Linked DNA regions of Cricetulus griseus. The protein of the gene in region 1 purifies or fractionates together with the protein of each later gene. This does not show direct contact. Links are inferred from orthologs where the notes say so. Each region holds a gene or a part of one and is shown on either strand. Other genes may lie near its edges.

Region 1 (4,447 bases):
AAACCAAAATTGGAGCTGGAGAGATGGCTCAGAGGTTAAGAGAACTAGCCGCTCTACCAGAGGTCCAGAGTTCGATTCCCAGTAACCACATGGTGGCTCACAACCTTATCTATGATGGGGTCTGGTGTCCTCTTCTGGCATGCAGGCAGAATACTGTATCCATAATAAGTAAATAAATCTTTTTTTGTTTGTTTTTGTTTTTGTTTTTTGAGACAGGGTTTCTGTGTGTAGCTTTGGAGCCTATCCTAGCACTCACTCTATAGATCTGCCTGCCTCTCAAGCGCTGGGATTAAAGGTGAGTGCCACCAACGCCCAGCATAAATCTTTAAAACAAACAAACAAAACAAAATTTAAAAGACCTGATACATACTCAAGATATTTGTTGAATAATGAATAAGTATGTCCTCAGTATCTTAATTAACTGTAGATTTCTAGCATCCCATAGGGAATTTGTTAACACATAATAAATGAATGACAGTTTTAACATGGGAGGCAGAACTTGGACAAACACATACAGGCAGGCCCAGCCAGGCTGTCACACATTTTCTTTGTGCACGTTAAAGCTGTGGTGTTGTTTCTGGAAGTATTGCCCTGCTCAGCAATGACATTAACAACACTCCATTACTCTCCAATAAGTATCTCTTTTAAAAGGATATGTGACATTACAAATATAACTCTTTTGTTGTCCTGTTGTGGGAACTGGAACACCACGGCGTTCTACTTCTACCTCCCAAGTCCTAGGATTATAGGACTAATAAAAATATAAAAAATTCAAGGTGATATATTTCAGTCATGCCTCTGCTAGTTTAGGAGATAGAACCATGGAGGCCTGCACTAAACGTGGGAGCATGTTGTTTAGCTCGATGGAAATGAGCGGTAAGATTATCAGAATGCCTCATCCAAATTCAAGTCCAGCCACTACAGATAAACTAGTTTAACTGTAGTTCAAGCAGCCAAATTGGGATAGGAAATGGGGAGAAAGGGACGACATTTAGGACTGGCTGGTTAGGAGAGGTAATATGGCATCTCCCAGGCTCTTAATTAAGCGTTCTCCATCTCTTTCTGGTGAGAAAGCGAAGGCAGAGCTGCAGAATGTCTGTTAGGTCTGGGGCAGAACATTCAAGCCTCTTCTCTCCCCATCAAATCATTTCCCAAACTCATTGGGAACTCGGCTGGTGCCCGGGCTCTGGGAAACCTGGCCGCAGGCCTCCAGGACACTGCCACACCGCGTAGCCCCAAAGCTGGCCACCACCAGAGGAAGGCCCGTGTGGAGTCTCGGGTTTCCACAGACCCGCCCAAGCCCCTTCCATCGCAGCACCGGAGGGCAGCGCTGTGAGAATGGACCAGGTGCAAGTCCCGGCAAAGAAGGGCAGCCACCGCCCCAGATGAAGGAATCAGGCCAAGAGGGTGCCCTGAAGGCGAGCAGCGTGAAACCTCACGGACATTCCCACCGGCTGTCTCACATAGTTCGGCCCCGCCGGGCCCCGCCTCAAGCCTACTCCCCAGCGGAGGGCGAAGAACATCCGCCTGCGCCTTTAAGGGGCGTGGCGAAGGCTCCGCCCCTTCCACCCGCGCGCGCCAATAAGGGGAGGGGTGCGGGAGGAGGAGCCTGAGGTGGGGAGCAGGAGGCGACGTGTGACCCGGTGCGCAAGCGCAGTTGCCGGGTGTTCGTGTGTTTCCAAAATGGCGGCAGCGATGGATGTGGATACCCCCAGCGGCACCAACAGCGGCGCGGGCAAGAAGCGCTTTGAAGTGAAAAAGGTTGGGTCTGGCCAGCACTTTCCTCAGGGAAGCTAGAGAGGTGTGGATATGGCTGGCAGGCCCCAGGACGAGCGGGGCGCGGGGGAAAGAGCTTCATTTCAGGGCGTTCCTGGGACCGGGTACCACGAAAAGGAAGCTGGGGGGCGGGCTTTAGGATTGATGGGCATGATGGTGACCCAGTCTCTGAGGCCATATAAGTTTCGCTGGGGTAGCTGAGGGGCCAATCGCAGGATGTCTTACTGAAATACTCTGCGTCGACTTGGTTGCGGGAGCCAAGCGCTTGAGCTGTCACTGAATTGACTGAGAGGTGGGGGAAGGACAGGGTGGGGTGGGTGGAATGGAGGCTCTCGGAGAGACTGCGGCGGGTGGAGGATGGGGCAGTGCGGAGAAAGCCGGGAGCGTGAGCCCCTACCGCAGAGGAGGCTCTCAGGAGCCCTGTCGGTCGGTGTTCTCCTTGCCCCGCCCCTTCCTGGATCCTTGAGTCTATTGACTCGGAGAGACCTGGTGTGGGTCCTCGATTGTATGGAGGCCTCCATTAGGCTCTAAGGCCCTAGTCTCGAGTATAAGACTTGGTTCTTCAGAAATGTCTACTGCTTGTCACGTATAGGTTTTGCCAGTCCCATAGTTCTGTAACGTCCGGATACCCTTCTATCAAAATCAGTAGTTACAAAGCTTCGTGGGCTTTGTTTTAAAAGCAAGCCCAGAACTTGTGGCATTTAGGAAAGTGGAATACTAATTGTTCATGATTTGGGAGCAGGAAAGCAAAAATGTCGAAAGTCTTTTTGCATGCTGTTCCCTTCATAGTTTGCCAACAGTTTGAGAGAAAGGTGTCAGTTCCTACCTCAGAATACATAAATCTGTAAAAATGAAGATATTGTAGTCGGAGAGATGTTTTCATGTATTTTTGGAGCGTGTCGCTGAGCACACCCTCCACCCCACCCCCCTTTTCTGGCATCTCATTGTGGCCATTGCTGCTCAGTTACAGCCAGCAGCCATATTGAAGAATAGAAGTAATCGTTTTTTTTTCAACCCCCCGAGTTGATGCTGTGGTATAAAAAGTGATGTAGAAGTTACTGAACTTCTGAGACTTGAATTTGAAAGAGCCCTTGAAAGGGGTGTCTGTCAATATGTATGTATAATTGCAGAAGCCAGTTGAACTACTTTTAGATCGACTTGCTTACTAGAATTAATAGTTTGGACATATAAAAGTTGACAACATCAGTTTCCAGGATAAGAGGGAAAGAAAATTGTAGTGGATTCTACTTTGCCATGAATTAATCTGTTAAGATTTAAGTGATGACCTTGTTCTGTGTACTGAAGCTAGGTAGGTAACTGGCTATCCGGCTTATCCCACGATTATCCACATTATGATCCTGTCATCATTTTACTCCATTCTGTTCACCTCCTTATGTGTCCAAAACTGCTTGAAGAGCAGAGACTTCTGCAGATTTTGAGTCCTTCCACAACTGCCAGGGAAAGCTCCACAATAATTCAAGTTTGTACTTCTTTAAATCTAAAACCGGTGTTTAAAAAATATTTCTAATTTGCTTACATTGGTTGGACTAGCTAAATTATTTTACACTATAGACAGAAAATTGAAGCATCCCATGTTTACATCTTCAGATGAATGAGGAAGCATACATGTGGTTTGCTGTTGTCCTCTGATGTAGTACAAATAGTATAATCCAAAAACATTCTTTCTTTGATAGCCCCTAAGGCCAGGGAGTTGGTAGCTTGAACTGAAACCTGAAATCCTGTTACATTACTAGGAAAATGCATTGTTAACCCCCTTTGTCTTTGCAGTGGAATGCAGTAGCCCTCTGGGCCTGGGATATTGTGGTTGATAACTGTGCCATCTGCAGGAACCACATTATGGATCTTTGTAAGTAACTCAGGGAGGACGGAGAGAAATGGAAAAGGTTACAGAAATGGTGGTCATCCTGATGTGACCAATTTTCTTCTTTACAAGTAGATAGATACAAAGCAGGGTCAAAACCCTTGGGCATGAGTGCATCTCATCCGTTGGTGTGTTTGAAATAAATTTATTTTGTTCTTTGAGACACAGTTTCTCTGTGTAGCCTTGGCTGTACTAGAACTACTTTGTATACCAGCTGGCCTCAAACTCAGATCCATCTTCTTCTGCCTCCTGAGGTCTGGGATTAAATGCCTGAGCCACCAGTACTCAGCTCCACTCAAAATTATTTTTATTATTAAGTTAAATAGTTAAAACTATTTTTCGACGGGCGGGCGTTGGTGGCACATGCCTTTAATCCCAGCACTTGGGAGGCAGAGGCAGGCAGATCTCTGTGAGTTCAAGGCCAGCCTGGTCTTCAGAGCGAGTGCCAGGATAGGCTCCAAAGCTACACAGAGAAACCCTGTCTCAAAAAACCAAAACAAAACAAAACAAAACAAAAAACAATTTGCCCAAACGGTTGCTATCAACCGTTTCAAATAAAGTTATTTTTTTAAATAATGTCTTAGGAGGCATCCCCAGGTCTCAGAATAAATTATTCATTGTAAAGCCAACAAGATCCCATTTAGAATGAGTTATAGGAAGAGATGTTGTTTCTTCCCATCTTACACAGACACAATAGTGAAAGAAAGTGACCTTTGAAGGTAGATAAACCGTGCATACCTGTAATTCCAGCATTTGGGAGGCAGTAACAGGAGTATTGTGGCAAATTAC
Region 2 (3,327 bases), on another chromosome or scaffold:
TCACTTCAGGACTGAGGCCTCACTCAGGTGGCTTGTTGAGTCTCTATGCCATGTTGCTGGTTTGTCTCAAGTTGAAACACCTTATATCCCCAAAGCACCACTTGTTGAAGGAGTCTGCTGGAATGTACATAGAGTGTCAGAGAAAGGCCTTTTACGTGCCTGCTTTGAGAGCTGAGGCTGGCCTCCAGTTCTTCTCCATAGTGGAAAGTGTACCTAGAAGTTCTGCTGTGCACAGCTGGCGCAGGCCACGCTCCAGCCTTACAGTGTTCTTTCCCCACTGCTCCAGGCACCCTGTGCGTCACATCTCCTTCAATAGTCACAGCCTCATCACCGCCAATGTGCCCTACGAGAAAGTGGTGCGGAACTCCGACCTGGACAACTTTGCCTGTCACAGGAGGTCAGTTGAGGGGTTGGACACATCCTGAAACATGCTTAACATGGTTTCATCAGTACCCCCCCCACACACACTCCATCCCCAGTCACATGCTCCTCTCAGGGTATCAACCATGGGCCCTGTTTTTTTGTAGAACTTGGGAACACAGTGGCTGCTATAGACCAGAAGCAGGTACTGAGTGTCTGTCTGGGGCATCCTGCAGCTGCTCCTGACATCTGGGGCACGGTGTCAGCTAGACAGTAAGGCTGGGCCTCAGTGTCCTGCATATCTGACACTGTGGGCTCAAAGCACACACTATCACAGTGGAGAGGTAGCCTAGACTCTGCATGCCTCTTGCCACACCAGCCTTGCTGACTGCTGCTTCTCTGTGTTTCCTCTAGACATCGTGGCCTGATCCATGCCTATGAGTTTGCAGTGGACCAGCTGGCCTTTCAGAGCTCTCTTCCTGTCTGCCGCTTCCCCTGTGACACCATGGCTGGGTACAGCTATGACCTAGCACTTTCTTTCCCCTATGACAGTGTTTAGGGCGTCACCTTATGGAGAAGTGGGAAGAGCCAGTTTTACAAATGTCAGAGCTGCAGGGAAGATCTGCAGCACAGAGTGGAATTTGGGGATAGTGCCCCCTCTCAGGTGGCCTATGGCCACACAGCCTTGCTGCCTCTGAAACCACCTATAGAGAGTCTGCTCCCATTTAGGGCTTTGGGAGCACCTGCTGATGACTCCGAGTTAGCCTTTCCCAAAGCGCTCCTCCACCGCAGCCTATGACAGGAGAGACACCCCTCCCTCCCTCCTTCCACACGCTAGTCCCCTGTGTGTGGTGCTGAGGATGGCCAGAGCCTCACACATGCAGGCAAGCACTCAGAGTGGTCTCCTGACCCCACCCTGTCCAGCCCTCCTCTGTGGTTTTCACACAGTTCATCATTGTAGCCCCTTACCTGTGTGAGGACTGCTCCATTTCACTTGCTGCTCTGTCCGGTACATGGACTACCAAGGAACCAACCCTCCTTCCCTGGGGAGGACAGGGCCACTCCATAGGGGTGGGCTTGGAGCCTCAGCTCCTGAGCGTGGCTGGTGGCACCACTTCCCTCAGCACCCCAAAAGCAGCCGCAGTCAGTGCTCTTGACAGATACCCACTCTGCCTGCAGAACGGCACGGGCACACCCACACACAGTGGCCAGGAGACCTAGTCAGTGAAAACATTTGGGTAGACATGCAGAGCTCTTCAGAATTCCTGTGGACCAGGCACCTAACACCTGTACAGAGATCCACAACATCAGGCAGAGTCCCTATCTCAGCCAATGCCAACTCAGAAAAAAAAAAAAAATCAGGTGGACCAGGCCACTCCACAGTGGGTTCTGCAGAGGGCAAAAAAGTGGCAGGGGGAGCTTCGTGCTCTGGAGACCAAGGTAGCTAAAGAAAAGAAAAAAAAAAAAAAAAAAAAAAAAAAAAAAAAAAAAAAAAAAAAAAAGGTGCTAAAGGGGTTGAGAGGGCTTGCATCTCCAGAGGGAGGTGGACCCACCTCTAAGCCAGGGTAATACTGAGAGCAGCAGCCACCCTCCCTGACCGACCCCTCCCCCCCAGCAGTAGAGCCTCACTGTACTCCAGCCTTGTTTCCCAGTGCTGGGCATGGAACCTGGGGCCCCGTGTGTGCTAGGCAAGTGCTCTGTCACTGAGATACTACCTGGTTTTGTGGCATGAAGGTTTCTCAGCTTAAGACATTCAGAGGCCTCAGACATCCAAGGTCTAGCAGGACAGGCGCACAGAGCCAGCTGCAACTGGGCAAGGCTTCCATGCAGGCTCCTCCCTCCCGAGGGGGACTTTGAACCACACTGCAGAGTGCCAGCAGGTGGCAGCTCACCTCCCTCCTGCTGGGCTGATGGCCCCCACTGGCTTGGTCTCAAGCTTTCCCAGGCCTGCATCTGGGCCCCAGGGGAAACTTGACTTCTCCATCAGCACCATGAAAGGACATCCAAGAGCTTTGAGAGCAGATACAGAGGTGACTGGAGTGAAGACAGAAGCATGGCTGGCAACTAGGGTAGCTTCAAGCATACCCTGCCCTTGCCCCTTAGGAAAAGCACTTGGGGACACAGTTCCTCACACAGCAGCTCTGGTTGTTTTCTGTCAGCTCAGCCTCCTGAGAGACACACACCACCCCCCACCCCCAGCCCAGCAACAGACCTACCCAGAGATCTGTCCCTACTGACTTCTGGGGTTGCTGCCACTGTACCCACCAGCAGGGTAGGAGACAAGTGGTCTCCCTTAGCTGCCTCGAAAGCCTGGAGGCACCAGGACACACCCCTGAGAACCAGAGGTGTCCGCACACCCGCAGCTTGCCTTTTGCCTTACGCAGCCATGTCTGCTCTGTTATTAAATATTCTGGACTCACTCGTGGCCTTGTTATCTGCTCCTGCGAGGATGCACAGTGCTGACCCCTGGCCCCTTGTTAAATCTTCCTCCATGGTTCATCATCACAGCTGGGAGGGGGTGCAACATGACAGCATACAAGGCAGGGTCTGGGGAGTATGTGGTCATCTTTGGCTGGGCTTGCTGCTGTTGTGACTGGGCTGGTTGTCCTTGCAGGCCATGAGCAGCTTGCTTATCCTGAAGCCCATACAGCAGTTCCCATGAAAAGATGGTCTCGAGTTTCAGCTGAGCAATAGAATTACCAATCTTTCCCAGCAGTGGGGTTTCCATTCTTCCTGAACTGGAAATCCCAGAGACAATCCCAGACACAACCCCAGGACGAAGTACTTAGTTCCCTCCCTAGGCTCACATCCTCTCCAGGAGAGGGTGGCACGCCCCAGTCCACTTGTTAAATGGCAATGGCAACACCACAAGTTGTGAACCACCTCTCCTGGTGAGGGGGCTTTCAGGTGACAATTGCCCTAAGATAGTGGTTCTGACAGGGACACTGCTCCTGGTGAGTTCTTGCT
Region 3 (4,538 bases), on another chromosome or scaffold:
CCTTGAACTCCTGATCCTCCTGCCCTACTTCCCCAGTACTGGGTTTACAAGCATGTACTTCACGTGCTGGCTTCTTTCTGTCTTTCAAACCACATGATTCCATGCTCCCATCTGCCCCCAGACAGCCCACCTTCTTCATTCTGAGCTATCAGTTTCTTCCTGGGTCTGAATCTCCTATACCCGAACATCCCAAGCTCTCCAAGTAGCCCTTCTTTCAACTGTTGACCCCTTTGCCTTTTCTTTTAACTAAGCTAGCTTGTAAGAGCCCCTGTATAGAAGTTATGCCCTACAATAAGTAAATCTTCCAGTGTCCCACTACCATGCAACACTCACCTGCACAGGGGGCATACCATCGTTGCTCTGTCGGAACTGGCCCTCATCCCCAGCAGCGATCTCTTCATAATTATCTAGCATCCGTACCCGCATCCCAGGCTGCAGCATGTCCCGCACATACAAAGCATAGGTATTGACACTTGCAAACTCAGTGCGGGGCCGAAAACGCTTTGACCTCCTGATAAGCTGGGGGTGGGGGAATGCCAGGCTGGCATCTGCTGGCTGAGGCTGGAAAATGGAGTAGGAGGACCGTGCCAACCTCCCTGGTCTGCTGGAGGCCCAGTCCCAGCGCATGGCCTGCACCAGTTCAGAGATCAGAGTGCCCATGGCCATACTGAATTCCAGTTCCAGCCGGCCCCTCCCTACATTCAACTCCTCAGGAACCAAGTTGTTCTGGGCTCCTTGCTCCCCTGCACCGCCATTCAGCTGGTCCAGGAGGAAGGTGGCACGCAAGTATCGTTTCACCAGGGAGAAGAGCAGCCGTCCTGGGACCTGTAGGACACACCTTTGACCCTCACCCATCGTGCCTTCACCTTTTGTCCCTTTCCACAGTCTCCTCCGTGACAAGTCCACAGCTCCTACTACCCCTACCCTTACAAGATACCTGTGGTAGCTGCACGCCCTCAAAAGACATGGGGTGTTCGGCAAGGGTAGCCTGTGCAAAGAGTGCTAACAGTGCACAGCGGCTGTCAAAATCCAGCTGTTTCTCAATGGCCTCTTGTTGGCTCAATGACAGAAGAATCTGGATCCGGGTCCCTGGAATCCACACCTCCAATGAGAAACCACTCCCAAGGCTCACTCGTTTTCTACTTAATAACAATCCTTTACCAGCACTCATCAGGAATGACATATTTTGTTGATTTGCTTTTAGAGCCAAAGTTTACTATCTCTCTCTCTCTCTCTCTCTCTCTCTCTCTCTCTCACACACACACACACACACACACACACACTGCAGCAGTCTTAGCTCTTCTTTTGCATGAAAAGCTAATTAAATTTGTTCTTACTTATTCAGTCTCTCTCCCCCCACAAACATCCCCCAGGCCCTCCCCCACCTTTTCCTTCCAACTTAAAGTGAATGACAACAGAACCATTACGTACTGATGATGTCAGAAGCTCCTGTCACAGTGTCCTGTGAATCCCCGAGCCGACCCTGCCCCTCCCCATACTGCCCCTCACCAGCGTCATGGGAGGACAGAGCTTGTATCATCCGGCCTGCACTCCAGCGGATCTGATAATCAGGACTACTCAGCATGTGCATGAGCAAATCCAGGATTCTGGGGTCTTTGAAGACACCAGTGAGGGGCTCGATGCTGGCATAAGCACTGAGTACATGGACAGTGTGAAGGAGAGGGGCAGGGGGAACGGTGCCCACACACTCCTGCAGCTGACGAAGGGCCCTCTGAATCAAGGATTTCACGTCTGTTTCCATCTCCCCCAGCACAGATTTGTCGAGGGCTCCAGCCTCTGCAGACCCCTGGGAAGGTCCGATGACTTGGCCATCCTCGCCCAGCATCTTGTGACAATTGGCATAGATCTCATCATCAGACATCCATAGCAGGATATGCTCAGCCTTGCAGTCCACTTGGGTAGAGTCCCCTTCCCCATCATCTCCACGCCTGAGGATGAGCCAGCGGATCTGATACTCAGGGTGCCCATCATGGCCTACTCGCTGCCGGATCAATTCATCTGGATACGCATGCAAGCCTGGCCCCAGGGGCACCCTGAATTCCCTGTAGCGGAGTTCCCCCACCATGCTGGCACCTGAGAGAGAAAAGGCAGGCTACAGTGAGAGGGGAGGTCAGAAAATCAAGGGCATCCAGGAGTTGGAGGAGGAAATGCAGCAACAGCTGTTAGCCTGGGTGGGGTAAAGCTGGGCCTACTTTGGGCTGGGTGAGACCGGGGCTGGGCAGAACATTGCGGAAATTGTTCTTCAAGAACAAATAACGGAGCTAAAAGGTCTCCAAAGCATGCGGCCTTGAGTGGGTTGGTTCGGAACGACCGGAGGGATAGTGGTTTGGGCAGTGCTGGATTTACAAATGAAGCCCAAGATCCCGGGACAGATAAAGGTGATCTAGGGAAAGGGGTGTGTGAAGGCACAGGATTGTGTCAGAGAGGGATGCAATCTCTAAATTGAAGCACTGTGTTGTAAGTGCCAAAGGCGAGAGCGCGGACGGTGAGATGGCCACCAGCAAAGCATGGCCTGGGAGGAGGGGTAGGAATGGAGATATCCACGGCCAGAGCAACTGCAGAAGACGCAAGGCCAGGGGCAAGGCGCACCGGGGGTCCGATGGGTAAGGGGCGCGCGGGGCTTGATGGATGGGAACCAAGACCTGATAAGGTCAGGAGCGGTCGCGGTGGGATAGGATTGGGAGCGGGGTTAGGCCCAATAAAGGAGAGTCCTAAGGCGTGGTGGGGAAAGGGACGCGAGGCTCCGCGGGCGATCGGAAGCCCAGAATAGGGTCAGGGGCCGCGGTGGGGCTGTGGCCACCTCAGAAGTCCGCCGGGATCCTGGCCGAGGCCTGTCCTTTGCAGAGCTAGGGACGCGAAGCACACGATGGCGGCTGCGGCGCTGGCGAATGTTTGGGCCCCGCCTGGGCCCCCCGAAGGGGTCGAGGTGCAGAGGAGGGGGCGTGCCTCTGCAGCAGACAGGCGGGCAGAGGGCGGGGCCTGCGGGACTTGGCCTCCGCGCCGGCGCCCTGCTCGCCCGCTGCTGCAGGGCGGAGCTTGGTCCCAGCTGGGGAGCTCGGAGGTTTTGCTGCCTGTACCTCGCCACCGCTCGTTCCCGCCCGTCTTGGAGGAAAGCCGGGGGCGAGGGGCCTGCGGCGGGCGGAGCCGCGGGTGCCACCTCGACGACGCGGCTCTCCAGCACCGGACCGCCCTTTCCTCTTCCTTTTAGTCCTCCTTCCTGCTGCCGGAAGTGCCTTCCCGTTTCCCAAAGCAAGAACTGGGAAAGACCTTGGAGGTCATGTCTACCCCCTCCCCATCCTGTCTTTTTCTTCCCTTCCCTCTATCCTTGTTTACTCCTCGTCCAGTCTGTACCCCGCCCTTCAAAAGTGAAAAGATGGTAAGACAAAAACGGGTCCGTTTATTAGAGTCAGGGGAATCAGCTTTGGGCAGCAGCAACAGAGGGAGTCTTCACGTAACTCTTCATGGGGGGCAGTGGCCTAATCTTTCGGCCAGCCCAGCCTCCCTTGCGTTGCCACAGCCCACTGTTAGGCCTCTTGCCCAGCCAGCGGTTCCGTCCTGCCTTGCCGATGACTCGTTGGTTATGATCAACGTTGGAGACTCGGCCTACAGTTGCAATGCATGTCTCCAGCACCTGACAAGAGAAGCAGGCGAGAGTGCACCGTGGGGACAAGGGGCAGGCATGGCAGTGCTGAGAGCACGACTCTGTGTGGCTTCTTAAACTCAGTGAGGGAAGGGAGAAGACAGAAAACACAAAATAGTAGACTATAAGTGTGGGTTCGACAGGATGAACTGAGTAGATAAAAAGACTACCCTTTTTGTTTGTTTGTTTCTATGGCTTTCTTATGGAGTCCGGCTGTTCTGGCACTAGCTATGTAGACCAGGCTGGCCTGGAACTCAACAAAAGCCCCCTGCCTTTGCCTCTTGAGCGATGAGATTATAAGCCAGTTCCAGCCAGACTGTTCAACCCTGTCTTCTCCTGGTTTCCTGAAATGGTGTCATGTAGCCTAGGTGGCTTCATTCTTTTGTCAAAGTCTGGAATGCTGGGATTACAGGCATGTATCACCATGCCCAGCAGAGAAAAGGCATTTCTACTTATTCCACTAAGGTGCCAACCTGACAAGGCATGCTTAGTCAGGTGGCAGAGAGAGGGACAGACACAGCTGCAGGTAGTCCCTGGCATCATAAACACTTGGGAGCTGGCCAGGTACATTCCAAAAATTCCTTCTTTGCTGACCCCTCCCACTTGTGCCCATATATACCTGCATTTGTCTCTTAGAGGGCAGCTGGATAATGGCTGTTCCATTCACCTTCCGAAGCAGCACGCCACATGTCCCTAGGGAACAGAGAAGCATCTTTGCCACCCTCCACAAATGAGAGGGAGGTTTCCATGGGGATCTAGGCCATATGCTACCCTTTGCCCTTCAGGGGTGCGTGAAACATAGAAGAGTACACACTATGACTTAGGTTAAGACAAAGCACACATTCATCCTCTTGTTGCTTGTTTCTTCCTGTCTGCG
Region 4 (3,522 bases), on another chromosome or scaffold:
TTGGTTCTATGAGAAAAGCAGAATTAATCAAACCATTTATTTATAAAGATTTTTTTCTTTTGTGTGTACATGTGGGCAAGTATGTGTGCAAAGGCGCAGATTTGGAATTCAGAGAACAACCTTCAACTCAGTTCTCCTTCCTCTCCGGGTCATCAGCAATGTTGTCAGGTGCTGAGCCATGTCACTGGTCCTATGAAATCAATTCTTGCCATGATTACTGTTGCTTGTCATAGTTATAAAACATGAGTTAGTGAATAAGAATGATTGACTGAAATGTCATTACTTTCTTTCTTACCCATAGGACTGGAAGCAACCCTAAAATTAGACGCAACAAAATTTGGGGAGGACAGAATGGTGGAATTCTAGTTTATAATTCTGGTATGTTTAATCCATCTTCTTTTTCTGTATTAATAAACTTTAGAAATATGCCTTCTAAATAACATACCTAAATTTTACATTTGTAGGTCTAGGCTGTATAGAAGACAATGAAATATTTGACAATGCAATGGCTGGCGTCTGGATTAAGACAGATAGTAATCCTACACTAAGAAGAAATAAAATCCATGATGGGAGAGATGGTGGCATCTGTATATTTAATGGGGGTCGAGGTATTGTTGTTAAGTTTGCATTAGTAAAAAACCCAGTTTTCTGTTGTTCTTCTATATCTTTAATGATCAGTGACACTGCCAACTAAAATGTTACAACTAGATGAACCTCCTTACCACATCCTTAAATGGTTTAGGAAATTTGTGTAAAGTATTCCCATCTTTTGTAACTGCCTTGACTGCCAATTGTCAGTAAAGCTTTTTGAAGGTAGAGTTGCACATCCTCACTCTGGTCCTTTTATCCTAATAAACATTAAAGTCAAGCTAGAGAAGTAGATGTGACAAATGAGTATGTAAAATACATGCAACTCTATAGTAAACAAGTGTTGATTTTGTAACTGTTGGAGAACTAAATTAAAAAACCCAACGTGATCCTGGTCCATAGAGCCAGCCTAGTTTGCCTTGAGGCATTAGTCCTATAGTGGTCACCCTTTCCAGATAAGTGTTCATAGATTTTGAGACGGTGCTGAGAGGAAAGCATGGATTCTACAGTGTCGACAACCCAACACCCAACATTCTGCATTATCCCACATAAAAGAAATATACCAATGCTTGAGATCATTTATTGTAGCCGAACAGTGATACCGACTCTCATAGAGGTCAACACCTCTAGTCTGAGCCCTGGGGAGTCTGAATCAGAAGTGCCATAAGCCTTACTTTGGCTCAGTGTGAGACTGTCTCCAAAACAAAAAAAAAAAAGGCAGTGGTGGTGCACACCTTTAATCCCAGTGCTTGGGATGTACAGGCAGGCAGATCTCTTTGAGTTTGAGCCCAGCCTGGTCTACAGTTAGTTCCAGAACAGCCAGGATACAGAGAACTCCCCCCCCACACACACACACACACAAAGGGTTTCTCTGTGTAGCTTTGGAGCCTATCCTGGCACTCGCTCTGGAGACCAGGCTGGCCTCGAACTCAAGAGATCCCTCTGCCTCTGCCTGCTGGGATTAAAGGCATGTGCCACTAACGCCTGGCCCTACAGTAAATTTTTTGCGCTATGTCTCAAAATATTCAACTGATGGGAGAGCTTTCCAGGTATAATTGTTTGCCTTTGACTTTTTTGTAATGATAGCTAAAGACCATAAATAAAAATTATGACATCCATAAAATCTACAACTAAATGGAGTGGCACATTGTTAACCAGCTCTGAGGGAAACTGAAAATGGTGTAGAAGGTACAAGAAGTGAAGAGAGCTGAAGCTAAGAGGTTTTCTGTGTGTAGTGAGGCCATGAAGACAGCTCATTGTCTAGAGGGGCTTGTGTACAGGCCTGAGGAGCTGAATTTAGTCCCCGTATCCCACAGGGTAGCTGGAGACCTCCACATGCACACAAAACGTTAGGAATGGAGCAGGAGAGATGGCTTAGTGATTAAGAGTACTATCTGGCCGGGCGTTGGTGGCGCACTCCTTTAATCCCAGCACTCAGGAGGCAGAGGCAGGCAGATCTCTGCGAGTTTAAGGCCAGCCTGGTCTCCAGAATGAGTGCCAGGATAGGCTCCAAAGCTATACAGAGAAACCCTGTCTTGAAAAACCAAAAAAAAAAAAAAAAAAAAAAGAATACTATCTGGCAGGGTGGTGGTGGCACGTGCCTTTAATTCCAGCACTCCAGAGACAGGCAGGTCCCTGCATTCAAGGCCAGCCTGGTCTATAGAAATCCTGTATCAAAATCAAAACACACACACACACACACACTTGGTCTGCTCCTGCACATAAAGTGTGTGTGTGTGTGTGTGTGTGTGTGTGCGCGAGTCTCAAAGTCTCTGTTAACACCATCCCTGGGAATCTTAATGTCCTCTATGCCTGAGCACCAGGCTTGCATGGAAGGCAAATTAAATAGGAATGTGCTGGGGCTGGTGTTCAATTGTAGATTGGGTCCTTAACATTGAAATGTTCAAAAATACTAGAGGTCAGCTGTCTACTGAAATAAGTCTACTTTCTGGAAACAGAAATACTAGTACAAAAACAGATAGTGGAAGTCACAACACTTGCATACCTGGCATCTAGGGGCAGAAGAGGAGGGCTTTGGTTCCCCTAAAACTGGAGTTACAAGTAGTTATAAGCCACCATGTGGTGCTGGGAATCAAACCCAAGTCCTCTGGAAAAGCAGCCAGCACTCTTTAACGACTGAGCCATCTCTTCAGCACCTAAAAACAGGTTATCTGTGAATAGCTGTTACTTACTAGTGTACTCTACCATGAAAGTATTTGAAGGGTTTAAGTAAGTCTTGATTCCTTGGCACACATTCACAGTGGTGTAAGGTGTGAAAAACTCACAGAGGAAGTGATGGTAGGAGATCAAGGCATTTCAGGAATAGTGTCTGACTACATTACTATACACGACAAGTAACTAGAATACTCTTGGGGGGGGGAGGATAATGGAGTAAGAGAAAGCAAGAGTGGGGACAGACAGCTGCCTCAGAGAAATGGCAGAAGACTTCAAATGCAACTTGATTTCAAACCACTCAAAAATTAGATTTATGAGCAGAGAAAGTCATCAAATGAGAGGAATAAATAAGGAAATTATGAGACTTCTGCACATCACTTCCTTTTGAGTTAAGGAACAGGAAGAAGCCATATACCATGAGGTGCTGGCCAAATTAACCCATGTGCTCCAGGCGTGGTACATGCCTGTGACTCAGGAGCCCAGCCTTGGGTTACATATTAAGACCCTGTTTCCACAGTGTTTACTGTATACATTAGCTTTAATCTAAGTGTTTTAATTATAGGTCTCCTTGAAGAAAATGATATTTTCAGGAATGCTCAAGCAGGTGTTCTTATCAGCACTAATAGTCATCCAGTCTTAAGGAAAAACAGAATATTTGATGGATTTGCTGCAGGTTTGTATTCTTTATCTGTGACTTGTTTACAGTTTGTAATTATAAGGTTTTCCTGGTTATTATTCAAAGTTCTGAATTCCTCTACT
Region 5 (3,831 bases), on another chromosome or scaffold:
TCTTATAGTCTTGCGTGTGGGCCACCTTTGTGCCCTGAACAGTCCTTGTCTGGCTGTGTGCATGGTGGCAGAGGTGCAGGTGGATCACTAGTGAGAACACACAAGGACAGCCAGAGTCTGGCAGTTTCCGGCAGAATCCACAGAGGCTCACTGTTAGATGGGATGCTGTCAGCTACAAAGGACAAATGCCATGATCATCCCCACTTTAGGAGTCCGCTCCTGGAAGTGGTATGTGAATGGGGACTGGATCCTGGTGGATTTTTGTTGGATCAAGCGTTGGGTATTTGGGTATTGGCGCTAACCAAGAAATGTTTGACCCATTACGACTCCTGGTCCACAAGTGGCATGCCGTCATTGGTCTTTGTCAGGGTACATGGGTAGGTGTCGATCCCACGCTTCGGAAAAGAAAAGGCCTGGCGAAAATATTATCTCCTAGTCTTTCTGTCTTGTCTTGAAGGTGCTTGATATCCTCCAGCACATCCAGACCCTTGACCCTGGGCAGCACGGGGCAGTGGGCTACCTAGTGCAGCACACACTAGAGCACATTGAGCGCAAGAAGGAGGAGGTAGGCGTGGAGGTGAAGCTGCGCTCTGAGGAGAAGCACAGAGATGTCTGCTACTCCATTGGACTCGTTATGAAGCACAAGAGGTGAGTACCTGCTCCTGGCCTCTGTGGCTGCCCACAGGCTGCCAGGGCCACAGCCACACTGAAGAGGGAAGAGGATCCCAGAGGCATACCCTGGTACCTCAGGTCATTTCACTGAGCACCCCCACAGGCCAGACAGCAGGCCCCTGCCTGCATCCAGCTTTTAACTGTGAGGTATAATGTCTTTCATGAACTCTGACTGCTCCTAGAGTTTGTATGGGGCTCTGGGGGTTGAGCCTAGGGATTGACCAAACTAGAAGCTCACTGAGCTATGGCCCCAGCTCCTCCTTCTGCTGTCCCTTCTCTGTCCCCTGCCATCTCTGATCTGGGTTAGCAGGGCTTTCCTGAGGTATAATTCTGCCCATGTCTGTTCACCAGGCAGAATTTAACTCCAGAGTGCTGGTGCAGGTTCATGTCCCACAAGCAACCTACAAACTGTGATTACTGTCCCCACAGCATGACCTTGGTGTGCTCATGTGACAGGAGCAGGTGACACTTGGTAGTGTTTTTCCCTCACTGGCAAAGGCAGTTCCATCTGGCCACACGGTCTTCCTTGTTGGCATGTGGCTACTTCCTACCCCTCCATTGTCTCTGAGACATTCATTTAGTGAATGCTTTCTTCTCAACTCCTTAAAGAAATTTCCAAACATGTAAGAGTGGAGAGAAGGGCACGTGAGGCAGCTTGTGCTCCTAGTGTACTGGCTGTAGCAGTGAACACCACAACCACCACTTCCCTCCTCAGTTCTGGACTAATGAAGTTAATGTTGCACACATTCACCCTACCCATTCAGTTGGAGGGAAGGGGGGGGGCTCCCCTGCTCACTCTTTTTTTTTTTTTAAGATTTTATTTATTTATTATGCATACAACATTCTGCTTCCATTTATATCTGCACACCAGAAGAGGGCACCAGATCTCATAACGGATGGTTGTGAGCCACCATGTGGTTGCTGGGAATTGAACTCAGGCCCTCTGGAAGAGCAATTGGTGCTCTTAACCTCTGAGCCATCTCTCCAGCCCCTCCCCTTCTCACTCTTATTATCCTCTTCTTACCAAAGGTAGTCTCTTGCTCTGTTCCAATGTTTTTCTTAAAGCTGGGTGGTGAAGGCGCACGCCTTTAATCCCAGCACTGGGGAGGCAGAGGCAAGAGGTTGGAGGCCAGCCTGGTTTACATAATTCCAGGACAGCCAGGGCTATGCAGTAAGAACCTGTCTAGAAAAAAAAAAAAAAAAAAAAAAAAAAAAAAAAGATTATTTTCCAGATACAATGCTTTGTTGATGGTGAGAGTAGGATTTGTAAAGAGGGACAGGATTTCTTAAAAGTGACTCCACATGGGGTAAGAGCAGTAGGTAATGAACAAAGGGCATGGAAGAACCCCAGCCTGCCTCTCCTGACTCCTCCGCAGCTCTGAGGCTCCCCAGGAGCTCACTTGCCATCTTCCCGTGCTCCACAGGTATGGATACAACTGTGTGATCTATGGCTGGGACCCCACCTGCATGATGGGCCATGAGTGGATCCGCAACATGAATGTTCACAGTCTGCCTCATGGCCACCATCAGCCCTTCTACAACGTGCTGGTGGAGGATGGCTCCTGTAGATATGCAGCCCAAGGTAAGGTGTTTGTTTGCTGTATCTCCACCCATCCCTGGCTGACCATGCTATAGGGAGAGCTCACCAGTGTATACAGGGTAGCAACTGTCCATAGCTAGTCACACACAGGCACACCAACACGAGGTCCTTGTTCTAGCACTGCTTACTGTCCTCACTAGCCAGACACCTGACTTCCCTGTCGCCCTCATGTGGCCACAGGTGAAAACTGCAGTCCCCTGTACAAACTCTGTGCTTGGTGACCTTTGGTAGGCCATGGCCACCTGACTGGCCAGCGCTGGGAACAGATGGAATTGAAGAGTCAGAGCAATGACTGTAGTGTGAGCCTTTGTCTGTGTCCCTTTTGACTTTCATACACCTGAAAGCAAGGAGCACACTGGTTTATTAATAAGAGAAGGTGTGGATACTGATGCGATGAACAGTGTGCCCTCATGGGTGCTAAGTCTGTTTGAGACCCAGGCGTTTCATACATGCAGAGCCTTGAGCTTGTACAGGCCACCTCCACTTTACCTTGACCATGAGGACATGAAGCCAGGAGTCTGGTGATGGGCTATGGCCTGAACCAACAGACCTGTTCTGCCCATACAGGGGTAAAAATACTGAGGTCTGGAGTGTCACGGTTTCAGATAACAGGAACAGTCCTCACATGAGTGATTGTGACCCATTGGAGGCCAGGAGGATCCATCCAATATGTCTGTAGGTGCCTCACCTCCTCCATGGGTTCCTGGGGTAAGGTAAAGGGGCCACATGTTCCCAGAGTGTTCTGGAGGCTCCCACAGGCCAGTCTTCGGCTTTTGAAGCTAACTCCAGTGAAAATCAAAGCTCTCCATTTCTGAAAGTCACCGTGATTTAAAAACGGCCTGGGGCTTTGCTCTATGACAGGTGAGGAAGGCTTTCTGTCATCAGTCATGACTCCTGGCTGTGGCGTCCTGGGTGTAGCAGTTGTCCACCCTACTCAGAGTGGGTGTAAACATCTTCAAATCAGATATTGAGGTTTATAGAAATAGTTCGTATACTGTGTTTGCTTGATGCAATCTGTAAAGTGAGCACTCAGCTTTAGTTGTTCTGAATGGTTCCTGCTGATGCCTCAGTGCACCTCACTGTGTGTGTGCACACACATGGGATAGTAGTTTGCAGTCACAGTGTAAGAAGAAACAAAAGTCTGCAGTCCAATGACTGGGTGGCATAGGAGTGGCTGTGATTATGTTAGCTTTGGCTGGTTTCCCTTGAGAGGCCCTTCTGTTGGCCACAGGACTATGGCTTCTCCTGAGGGCTGCTGTGTGATGGCTGTGGGGTGCAAGGGTGGCAAGGAACTCCTTCACAGCCACACATAGGTATTCACATACCTCCCTGGGCCAGATCCTGTTTCTAGTGACCTCGTGAACCCTTTTATTTGTGTGCTGGACTTCCAGCCTGGGCTCTCTGCTCTGTGATCTTGGGGTAGCTCCTACACATTCTTCTCCTGAACTGCTGCTCCACCCTGCCTGCTCCTGCAGATACACTCCACATGCTGTCCATTCGCCAACAGTGGGTTCTCACCTAGGTCTGTTTCATCAGTGAATAGGAAGGCCTTTTTGCTA
Region 6 (3,831 bases), on another chromosome or scaffold:
TTAAGTTATAGGTAGCATAGGTTCTCATGTTGTTACTGAAAAGATTCGTGGTATAACTTCAGCCATTTTAATTGATTGACTGGCTTATGACTCCGGATGTGATCCAGTGTGGAGAATGTTCATGGGGCTTGGGATGAGATTGGATTTTGCTCCTGTTGGATTGAGCATCTGTATGGATCTGTTAGGTTCAGTAGTCTGTAGTGTGTTCAAATCCAGCATCTCTTTACACATCTCTGCCAAATATTTCTTCATTCAGTTCTGTCAGTGTTTGTTTCGTATCTGTATACTCTAGTAGATGGTGTTACTCTCTATGTTGTCACATTTTGGTGAAGATGTCACTGTGTAGCATTATCATTCCATCATGCCTTCCTTTGTGTCATGTAACAGTTGACTTAAGGTGAGTATGGCTTTTGGAACTTGGAAGTGCTGCTCACCTGGTACTTCAGATAAGAAAACCAAGTGCTAGCTTTTCCTAGCTCCTGTGACATTTGTATTAGAGCCAAGACCAAGGCCCAGTTGTCCTAGTTTCCAACTCAAGCAGACAGTTTCTCCCTGGTCTGCCCAGCTTTGGATTGGGAGCTGTATTTGCTTTGTATTTGGTAGGTTTTCTTTGTTGGTGTCTCAGTCTTTCTAAGAATCATGGCCTGGATGTTATTTCGTTTTGTTTTTCAACTACATAGTTCATTCCTTGGAAAAAGCTGTATCATCGATACTTGATAAATGAAGAGCAGGCTGTCAGCAAAGTGGATGGCATTCTCTTGAGCCATGGCATAGAAAAGGACTCGGACTTATGTGTGCTGAACCTCATCCGGTGAGTGTCTTTCTTCCAGTTTGTGAGACAGTTTTCAAAGTCCTTTCTCATGTCTTTCCTCACGATTGTCTTCCTTCTGGACTCATTTCCTGAGCCTTTTACAGATACACAGCCACTACCAAATGTTCCCCAAGTGTAGACCCTGAGAGGGTGCTGTGGAGCCTGAGGGATCACCCTCTGCTTTTGGAGGCTGAGGCGTGCATGCGCCAACAACTACCTGACCTCTATGCATCTGCTGGGGTATGTGAACTGAGAGGTTGTGGGGTTACTTTGGGGGATGGTGACATCATTTCTCACTGGAAGTCTGTTGCTGATTAAGATTAATTGAAGATAATATATATATTCAAAAATGTTTTTAAAGTTTTTTTTTTTTTATTTATTATGCATAGAGTCTTCTGCCTGCATGCCAGCAGAGGGCACCAGATCTCATTCAAGGTGGTTGTGAGACACTATATGGTTGCGGGGGAATTGAACTCAGGAGCTTTGGAAGAAGAGTCAGTGCTCTTAACTGCTGAGCCATCTCTCCAGCCCAATATTCAAATTTTTGATTGAATCTCTGAATAGCATTAATCTTGTTAATGATCTATTTGGAGAAATAAAAGGCCCTATTTTCAGCTTCTTGAATGCTAGTTATCTAGTCTCTGAACACTTGGAGTGATAGGGTTTCTTTATGATAGCCATTTATATTTTAAAAATAATATAAGCCAGACAGTAGTAGCACACACCCTTAATTCTAGCAGAGGCAGGTGGATCTCTGAGTTTGAGGCCAGCCTGGTGTACAGAGCAAATTCCAGAAGAGCCAGGGCTAAACAGACAAACCCTATCTCAAAAACAACAACAAAACAAAACAAAAGCAGACCCAACCCAATATATGCATTTATATATATATTTTTATGTAGATAGGTCCACACATGAGTATAGGAGCTTGTGGAGGTCTGAAGAGATCCCCTGGAACTGGAGTTACAGGCGGTTGTGAGCTGCCATGTAGGTGCTGACCCTAGGTCCTGGACAAGAACAGCAAATGCTCTTAATCACTGAGCCATTTCTCTAGCCCTTGAGGTGGCTCTCTCCTTGTTGATACATTGGGTAATTTGAAAGAGGCAGAAAGATTAAATGTCTTACTATAGATTCACAGTAAAATAAGATGCTGGAAATGTCTATCAGTTTCCTCACTAGTTTCCAGATTGTGGCTGAGTCTAGCTTCTCCTCCTATCCTGTATACCTCTCTTTGAAGGGCATTAACGTCTGGGCCTTGGTGGCTGTCATGGTGCTCCTCTCCAGCTGCGTGAACGACATCCAGCATCTGCTCTTCTGCCTCAGGAGACCCAGCTCCACAGTGACCATGCCAGATGTCACCGAGACCTTATACTGCATAGCTGTGCTCCTTTATGCCATGAGGGAGAAGGGGATTAACATCAGCAATAGGTAACACCCTGGAAAGGAGCTGCTATGATAAATCACAATGCCCTAGACTTGTCCTAGCGCCTCCTTTCTCCCTGTGTAGTGTGTAAGGGGACTGGGCTGTGGAAATGCAATTCCAAGTGCTTTGTGAATATCATCTGCTGGTCAACTAAGATTTCTTCACATAGTTTCTATGTTCTTGGGTGTTGAAGCTAGAGGTGAAGGTGAAATGCCTCACAGTACTCACACCTGGCTACATATTTCTAGGAAAACGTTAGCATTTTTTTTTTTTTCTCCCTTGCTCACTTTTGGAGCGGACTATAGTGGGAGTCTTAATGACTGTGTCTTCTTAATATAAGAAAGGCCTAGAGTGTTGGTTGCTCATTCACCATTATCTTGACAGTGATAAAGTATGCAAAGATAAATAGCAAGCTGGAAATTGTCCAGGCACAAGAGAGTCCACTGTGAAAATACTTAACATTGCCTGTGCAGTGTAAGAAGACAGGCAGTGCATAAGCACACAGCCGCCTTAGGGAATGTGTGTTGTAATGGGAGTGGAGCAGAGCTCTGTGAGAGGGCAGTGGGGATCATTGTTTTAGATGGAATGAGCAAACACTTCTCTGAGGAAGTCTGAATGTCAAAGAGGAACCTCCATTTGGAGGTATGAGAAAGAGCATTTTAAGAGAAAGAAGAGGTAAGTTAAGGACCCAAAGTTGGAATTAATTTGATAAATACCAGGAAAGTTCAGTGAGGCAGAGTGCATTGAATATGGGAGAAGCTAGTGCAAGATTATGAGAGATGTCTGGGGACCAGGGGAGGGCAGATCTTTAAAATCCTGAGTATGGGTGGTATATATGGAATGGCCTGCCCTTTCATCTGAAGTGGTGAAGACAGGCAGCCATCATGCATCCAGTTCTAGAGAGGTAGAAACCCAGAGGGTTTCATCTCTAGGAAAAGACTGACCCCTGCGATTAGTGAGCCCCTAGAGAAACACAGCAGTGACCTCATCATCCTTGGTAAGGTAGTACAGAACAATTCTGTGTGTTTATGGACACTATAACAGTACCATAAACCAGGTTGTTTAAGCCACAGACATTTGCTTTCTTGCCCTTTTGGAGGCTGGAGATCCAAGAACAAGGTGGGGAAGATTGGGTTCCTAGTGAGTCATCTTCTCTGTATCCCAGGAAGAGAGAGATGGAAGCAGGGGAGACAGAACACTTGACATTGTGTCTCTTCTTTTAAAAATGAGTTCGAGTGGATCATGGCTGTAGCTTTGTAACTGCACTGAATCATAATTCTCTCCTTCCTTCCTTTCTTTCAGCAGTCCTTTTATGGTATTAGGGCTTCAGCTTTTGAATTTCAGGAGGGGCATATAGTTCAGTCCATAGTAGTGTGGTATGTTGCTCTGGTTGTATGTCCAGCCCCTGAAATGTTATTAAAGGTATCTTTTTTCACCAAAAAGAGTGATGCTTTGAGATCAGCTCTTCACTCTGGAGTGGAGCAGAGCACTTGATTGGGGAATTAGTGTTCCAGGCTGCTGAATGTGGGCTCCGTGTACACATTTGAGGTTTTGGAGCTGCTTTGGGTGGACTGAGTTTGTTAATGTCTCGTTCCTCTAT
Region 7 (4,518 bases), on another chromosome or scaffold:
GGGGGTGGGGGGCTGACTCAAGAGGTTTCAGTGGAGAAGAAATTTAGTCTGTTACCTAGAGATTGCTCTTGTGATATTTTGGTCAAGAAAGTGGCTGCTTTTTGCCCTGAAAAGTCTGCCTGAAGCTAAAGTGAAGAGTTTTGGATTAATTCTATTGGCAGAAGAAATCTCAAACAGCCTAGTATAGGCTTGTTTTGTATTAACTCTAATGAAAATACATAATGAAAAGGAGCAAGTTGAGCAAGGAAAAATATTTGAGAAAAAGAGTTCCAGGAAGTGGAATAAAGCTAAATTTTGTGTTTAAGGAGATAAATGGATTAATAAATGAAATAAATGAATTGGTGACCTCAGAGGAAGATCCCAACCACCCGCTAAATTTCTAACTTGTAAAAGGAATTAAGAGCCTGGTGTGCTGGGGCACTCCTTTAATCCTAGCATTGGGAAGGCAAAGGCTGGAGGATCTCTGAATCTGAGGCCAGTCTGGTCTACCGACCAAGTTTCATGATAGCCAAGCTTAGGCAGTGAAAGACAGAAAGAAAGCTAGTGAAGATGTAACTGAATGAGGGGGCCATATTCCAGCCCCAGCAAGCAGCATACCTTAACAGCTGACAGCGTTGGCCATGTGGTTCTGATAGAGTTAAGGATAGAAAAAAAGGAGTTATAGAAGTACATGTCAGGGTGTCCCTGAATGGGGGCCTAGTAGAGAGGCTATTGTGTGAAGCTGTGGAGTTGAAGCCTGGATTGCCTTGGAGAACCCACAATGTTATAGACACCAAAGTCATGGGTTACCTGCAGAGGAGAGCTACTAACAGGGTGTGGAACCACCCCAAGAGAAAGAAGTGTCTTGTAGTCAACAAAGATGAACAGAGTTGGAGATCTGAAGTGTTTTAACATCAGACAAGAAGATGCAGAGTTTGGAGTTTGCCCAGCTGGTTTTCAGTCTTTCTTTAGTCTGGTATTTCCTCACTATGCTCCCTTCCCTGTGTTTGGGATGAAAATGTATATCCTGTGCCACCATATGTTGTAAGTATATGATCTGTTTTCTGATTTTGATTCTACAGGGGATTACAGTAAAGAGATTGCCATGCATCTGAGAAGAGACTTTGAAACATGTTTGGGTCTATTATAAACTATGGGGACATTGGGAGGTGGACTGAATGCATTTTTGCATTAATATATGGCTATAAACCTTGGGGGCCAGGGAGTGGAATGTGGTTGTTTGAAAGAAGATGGTCCCCAAAGGGAGGGGTACTATTAGGAGGTGTGGCCTTGTTGGAGGGGAAGTGTGTGTGTGTGTGTGTGTATGTGCGCGCGGGGGGGGGGGGGGGGGGCAGGCTCTGAGGTCTTTTCTGCTCAAGTTTCCCTCAGTGTGACAGTCAGTCAACTTCTTGCCTGCACTCTACCATGCTCCTCCTCATGACAACGGACTGAACCTCTGAAACTGTAACTGAGCCTCTTCCATTAAAGGTATTCATTTATGACAGTTGTAATGGTCATGGTAATAGCATGGTCACAGCAATAAAAACCAAACTAAGACACCACGTAAAGTTAGAAGGCAAGAACTGACTCCGTAAAATTGTTCTTTGGCTTACACACTCACACACAAACTCAAGCATACATACACACCACACACAAAAATGTATTTTTTTTTAAAGAATAAAAGGTAGATATTTGTTGTTGTTGGAAAGGTTATCTCCTTACCCCCCTTTTCCTACCAAGTACAACCAGTTAAGCAGAGGCAGGCCAAGCAGAGACAGATGTAGGGAAATCTCTGAGTTCAAGGCCAGCCTGGTCTACATAGGGAGTTCCAGCGCAGCTAGAGCTATGTAGAGAGGTCCTGTCTCAAAAAACCGAAAAGGAAAAAAGAATCAGATGCTTTGAATATGTGTGCATGTGTACACTGAGGGTTATATGTACATAAAAATATTTTGTGAATATTCAGGAAACTGATTAAACAGGTTACTTCCAGGGAGAATGAGAAAGACAAGGGAAAGGGATGAGGGAGCTCCCTTTTAAATATAAAGGTTTTTGTATTTAAAACATGTGAATACACTATTTTAAAAATATTTTCCTCTCTTTGCTCCAGGAATTTCGAAAATTGCTTTAATTTTTTTTTGTTTGTCTTTTGAGACAGGCTTTTGCAATGCAGCCCAGGCTGGAGTCCAATTCACAATTCTCCTGCCTCAGCTGCCTGAGTGTTGAGACTACTAGAGTCCACAGCCACCCATGGCCTAAAAGCCCCTAGTTTGGGGGCTATTTTTTTAAAGCTTTGAAAAAAATTCAAATAAAAACTCGGGCCCTGAAATTTCACTTGTTGGGTAACCAATGGGCAAATCATCTCCTGTAATTCAAGCATATTTCCTCACTTGTAAACTGTAGCCTGGTACTGTTTTACCTACTGGAGTTTGTGAGGATTAAACAGGATAAAGTGTTCTGCACAGTATCTGGCACACTATAAACCTACAATAAATGCCAGTTACTATTACTATGTAGTATGAATACAGTTATCTCGGCCCCTTTTTTTAAGCAGCATCCCGAATACACACCTGTTTTCAAGTATACCCACAAGTATGGTGCCTTCCTACACGCTCTACAACGTTCTGTGTTTTACAAACCACCTGTCCGCACTTCATCTTTCATCAAACGGTAGCCTTGGGGCATCAATGTTAATTCATTTCGCAGATAGGGAAACCGAGGCAGGAACTCTTAGATCTAATTTTCCTGTTTCTAAAATGAACTCCGAATCCCTCAGCCCGCTCATGACTCCCTTGGTCCCCTGCTCCCGGAGCCGTGTTCCGCGCGGCACTGACCTGAGCGAGCGCCCCGGGGCCCGGGACCTCGCGCCGGGCTCACACCGACTAGGCGCGCTCGGGCCGCCAGAGCGTCGCAGCGGCCGGGTCCGCTCCGCAGCCATGGCGCCTGCGGGGAGAGGGAGAAGACAGGCCGAGGGGGTGGGTCAGCAACGCCGCGGGCGCCCAGGATCCCTGCCCAATCCCGCCCGGCCCAGAGCCCACACAGACCTGGACCTGCGGCCGCTGCTCTGGTCCGCAACCTCACAGGGGAGCGGCTTCCGGTGCTGCTTGCGTCATCTCCGCGCGTCCCTCCCGGCACCCAGCGCCCAGCTCCAGGCGGAAACGGCTCTACTTCCGGCCCCGCCCACCCGGAAGGTGGGAAAGAATGGTCAGGTCTGTGGAGAGAGGTGGAGAGGTAGGCTATTTATTGCCTACCACCTACCTGACTTCACTTAGACCTAGTGACCCTGAACTAAAGCTTCGTTTCAAGGCAGCTGTCTAGATTTTCACGGGGTGTTTATGTTCCTCATCTACCCTTGTTTTCACCAAGTTGGGAGCAATTTTTCATCGGGGATTAAGGCTACAAATTAAGTTGTACCTAAATTGAGACAACCCATCACACTTGATACATCCCAAACTGGATTCTGGCACAGATGAACAAATTCCTAACTGTGGGAGGTCTACATCTGGTCGTAGGAGAAAGACAGCATAAACAACCAAGCAAACTATGTGGAAAGAAGCAAGTGCTGTAGAAAACAAAACATGGTTAAGGGAGTTGGATAGGGGCAGCCAGGTGAGGTAGGCGTGAACCATAACACGTGCACCCTGTGCCCAAAGATCGGTTGAGGTTACTCAACCATGGAGACGGCTGTTCTCTATAACACTTAAGTTACTTTGTGAGAGCCAAAGTTACATTTTAAGCCCTTGTAAAACTTGGTTCTGGGCCATTTCCTGGGAAACCAGGTATGGACCGGGCCGGATCACATCTACCTGGCCAATATTTAATTGAAGTTTGCTTCAAATTTGGCTTTAAACTGTGGTAGTGGTCTTATTCTCGAGTGGTGGGTGGGATTAATAATGTATCAGTTGACTGGCATCCTTTTGCTCTCTCCAGACAGAAACCATGGTAAGCAAGAAACTCTTCAACAAGGAGAAGCTCTTTAATGCTGCTGTGTGATAGCCTTTTTGTTATTGTCTTTCGAGACAGGGCTTCTCTGTGTAGCTCTGCCTGTCCTGGAACTCCCTCTGTAGGCCAAGCTAGCCTTGACCTGAGATCGGCCTGCCTCTGTCTCCTGAGCAGACAAGGGCAATGAGCAGACAAGAGCAAGAGCAGATCCTGGAGGAGGGGTGTCAACAATTTTTTATACATGAAGGGCACAGTAGGCCTGGGCATGACGAGCATGGTGAGCATGGCTCTGACAGGCCTTGTCCTTCCCCCATTCCCTCTGCCTTGCTACACTGTTAGGTTACATTCCTAAAGCTAGCCACCAAAGTACTTCTTTATTTGGCTACTTCCTCCTCCTGAGGGTGACTATCAAGGTCCAGCTATCAAAAGTATTAAAGTCTAGCAATCAAAAGCCCCCTTTGGTTCACCTAATTAACATGCCCAATCAAAACAAACCAACTAATCCTAACAAACTGCCATTTGCCTATGGGCCATACCTGTCCCCTCTATCAAGAAGTAGTCCTTTGCCCCTCCATGGCAAATATCCCTCCCCCATCCCTT

Evidence for each region.
Region 2: the proteins of Rbx1 (region 1) and Fbxw8 purify together in Homo sapiens (affinity purification with western blotting; 6 studies listed by BioGRID and IntAct, with this or other methods). This does not show direct contact. The link is inferred for Cricetulus griseus from reciprocal best matches to the Homo sapiens genes RBX1 and FBXW8.
Region 3: the proteins of Rbx1 (region 1) and Cul7 purify together in Homo sapiens (affinity purification with mass spectrometry; 9 studies listed by BioGRID and IntAct, with this or other methods). This does not show direct contact. The link is inferred for Cricetulus griseus from reciprocal best matches to the Homo sapiens genes RBX1 and CUL7.
Region 4: the proteins of Rbx1 (region 1) and Fbxo11 purify together in Homo sapiens (co-immunoprecipitation; 4 studies listed by BioGRID and IntAct, with this or other methods). This does not show direct contact. The link is inferred for Cricetulus griseus from reciprocal best matches to the Homo sapiens genes RBX1 and FBXO11.
Region 5: the proteins of Rbx1 (region 1) and Fbxo21 purify together in Homo sapiens (affinity purification with mass spectrometry; 3 studies listed by BioGRID and IntAct, with this or other methods). This does not show direct contact. The link is inferred for Cricetulus griseus from reciprocal best matches to the Homo sapiens genes RBX1 and FBXO21.
Region 6: the proteins of Rbx1 (region 1) and Fbh1 purify together in Homo sapiens (affinity purification with mass spectrometry; 3 studies listed by BioGRID and IntAct, with this or other methods). This does not show direct contact. The link is inferred for Cricetulus griseus from reciprocal best matches to the Homo sapiens genes RBX1 and FBH1.
Region 7: the proteins of Rbx1 (region 1) and F-box/WD repeat-containing protein 2 purify together in Homo sapiens (affinity purification with western blotting; 3 studies listed by BioGRID and IntAct, with this or other methods). This does not show direct contact. The link is inferred for Cricetulus griseus from reciprocal best matches to the Homo sapiens genes RBX1 and FBXW2.

Annotation. Positions count from the first base shown.
Region 1 is NC_048595.1:378,619,272-378,623,718, forward strand, and holds the start of Rbx1 (E3 ubiquitin-protein ligase RBX1), read left to right. Parts: upstream 1-1,604; 5' UTR 1,605-1,683; coding exon 1,684-1,761; intron 1,762-3,564; coding exon 3,565-3,643; intron 3,644-4,447. UniProt on the Homo sapiens protein: E3 ubiquitin ligase component of multiple cullin-RING-based E3 ubiquitin-protein ligase (CRLs) complexes which mediate the ubiquitination and subsequent proteasomal degradation of target proteins, including proteins involved in cell cycle progression, signal transduction, transcription and transcription-coupled nucleotide excision repair.
Region 2 is NC_048597.1:97,960,853-97,964,179, reverse strand, and holds the end of Fbxw8 (F-box/WD repeat-containing protein 8), read left to right. Parts: intron 1-286; coding exon 287-397; intron 398-774; coding exon 775-919; 3' UTR 920-2,780; downstream 2,781-3,327. UniProt on the Homo sapiens protein: Substrate-recognition component of the Cul7-RING(FBXW8) ubiquitin ligase complex, which mediates the ubiquitination and subsequent proteasomal degradation of target proteins.
Region 3 is NW_023276806.1:256,067,565-256,072,102, reverse strand, and holds the start of Cul7 (cullin-7), read right to left. Parts: upstream 3,046-4,538; 5' UTR 2,822-3,045; intron 2,095-2,821; 5' UTR 2,087-2,094; coding exon 1,432-2,086; intron 1,090-1,431; coding exon 938-1,089; intron 826-937; coding exon 334-825; intron 1-333. Other genes in the region: Mrpl2 (39S ribosomal protein L2, mitochondrial), read right to left, coding at 3,437-3,652, 4,281-4,354. UniProt on the Homo sapiens protein: Core component of the 3M and Cul7-RING(FBXW8) complexes, which mediate the ubiquitination and subsequent proteasomal degradation of target proteins. Core component of the 3M complex, a complex required to regulate microtubule dynamics and genome integrity.
Region 4 is NC_048598.1:89,602,702-89,606,223, reverse strand, and holds part of Fbxo11 (F-box only protein 11), read left to right. Parts: intron 1-301; coding exon 302-378; intron 379-464; coding exon 465-608; intron 609-3,325; coding exon 3,326-3,436; intron 3,437-3,522. UniProt on the Homo sapiens protein: Substrate recognition component of a SCF (SKP1-CUL1-F-box protein) E3 ubiquitin-protein ligase complex which mediates the ubiquitination and subsequent proteasomal degradation of target proteins, such as DTL/CDT2, BCL6, SNAI1 and PRDM1/BLIMP1.
Region 5 is NC_048597.1:97,899,386-97,903,216, forward strand, and holds part of Fbxo21 (F-box only protein 21), read left to right. Parts: intron 1-436; coding exon 437-648; intron 649-2,096; coding exon 2,097-2,254; intron 2,255-3,831. UniProt on the Homo sapiens protein: Substrate-recognition component of the SCF (SKP1-CUL1-F-box protein)-type E3 ubiquitin ligase complex.
Region 6 is NC_048596.1:228,531,033-228,534,863, reverse strand, and holds part of Fbh1 (F-box DNA helicase 1), read left to right. Parts: intron 1-680; coding exon 681-811; intron 812-915; coding exon 916-1,051; intron 1,052-2,045; coding exon 2,046-2,236; intron 2,237-3,831. UniProt on the Homo sapiens protein: 3'-5' DNA helicase and substrate-recognition component of the SCF(FBH1) E3 ubiquitin ligase complex that plays a key role in response to stalled/damaged replication forks.
Region 7 is NC_048599.1:146,550,767-146,555,284, forward strand, and holds the start of F-box/WD repeat-containing protein 2, read right to left. Parts: upstream 3,130-4,518; 5' UTR 3,021-3,129; intron 2,920-3,020; 5' UTR 2,811-2,919; intron 2,766-2,810; exon of another isoform or gene 2,547-2,765; intron 1-2,546. UniProt on the Homo sapiens protein: Substrate-recognition component of the SCF (SKP1-CUL1-F-box protein)-type E3 ubiquitin ligase complex.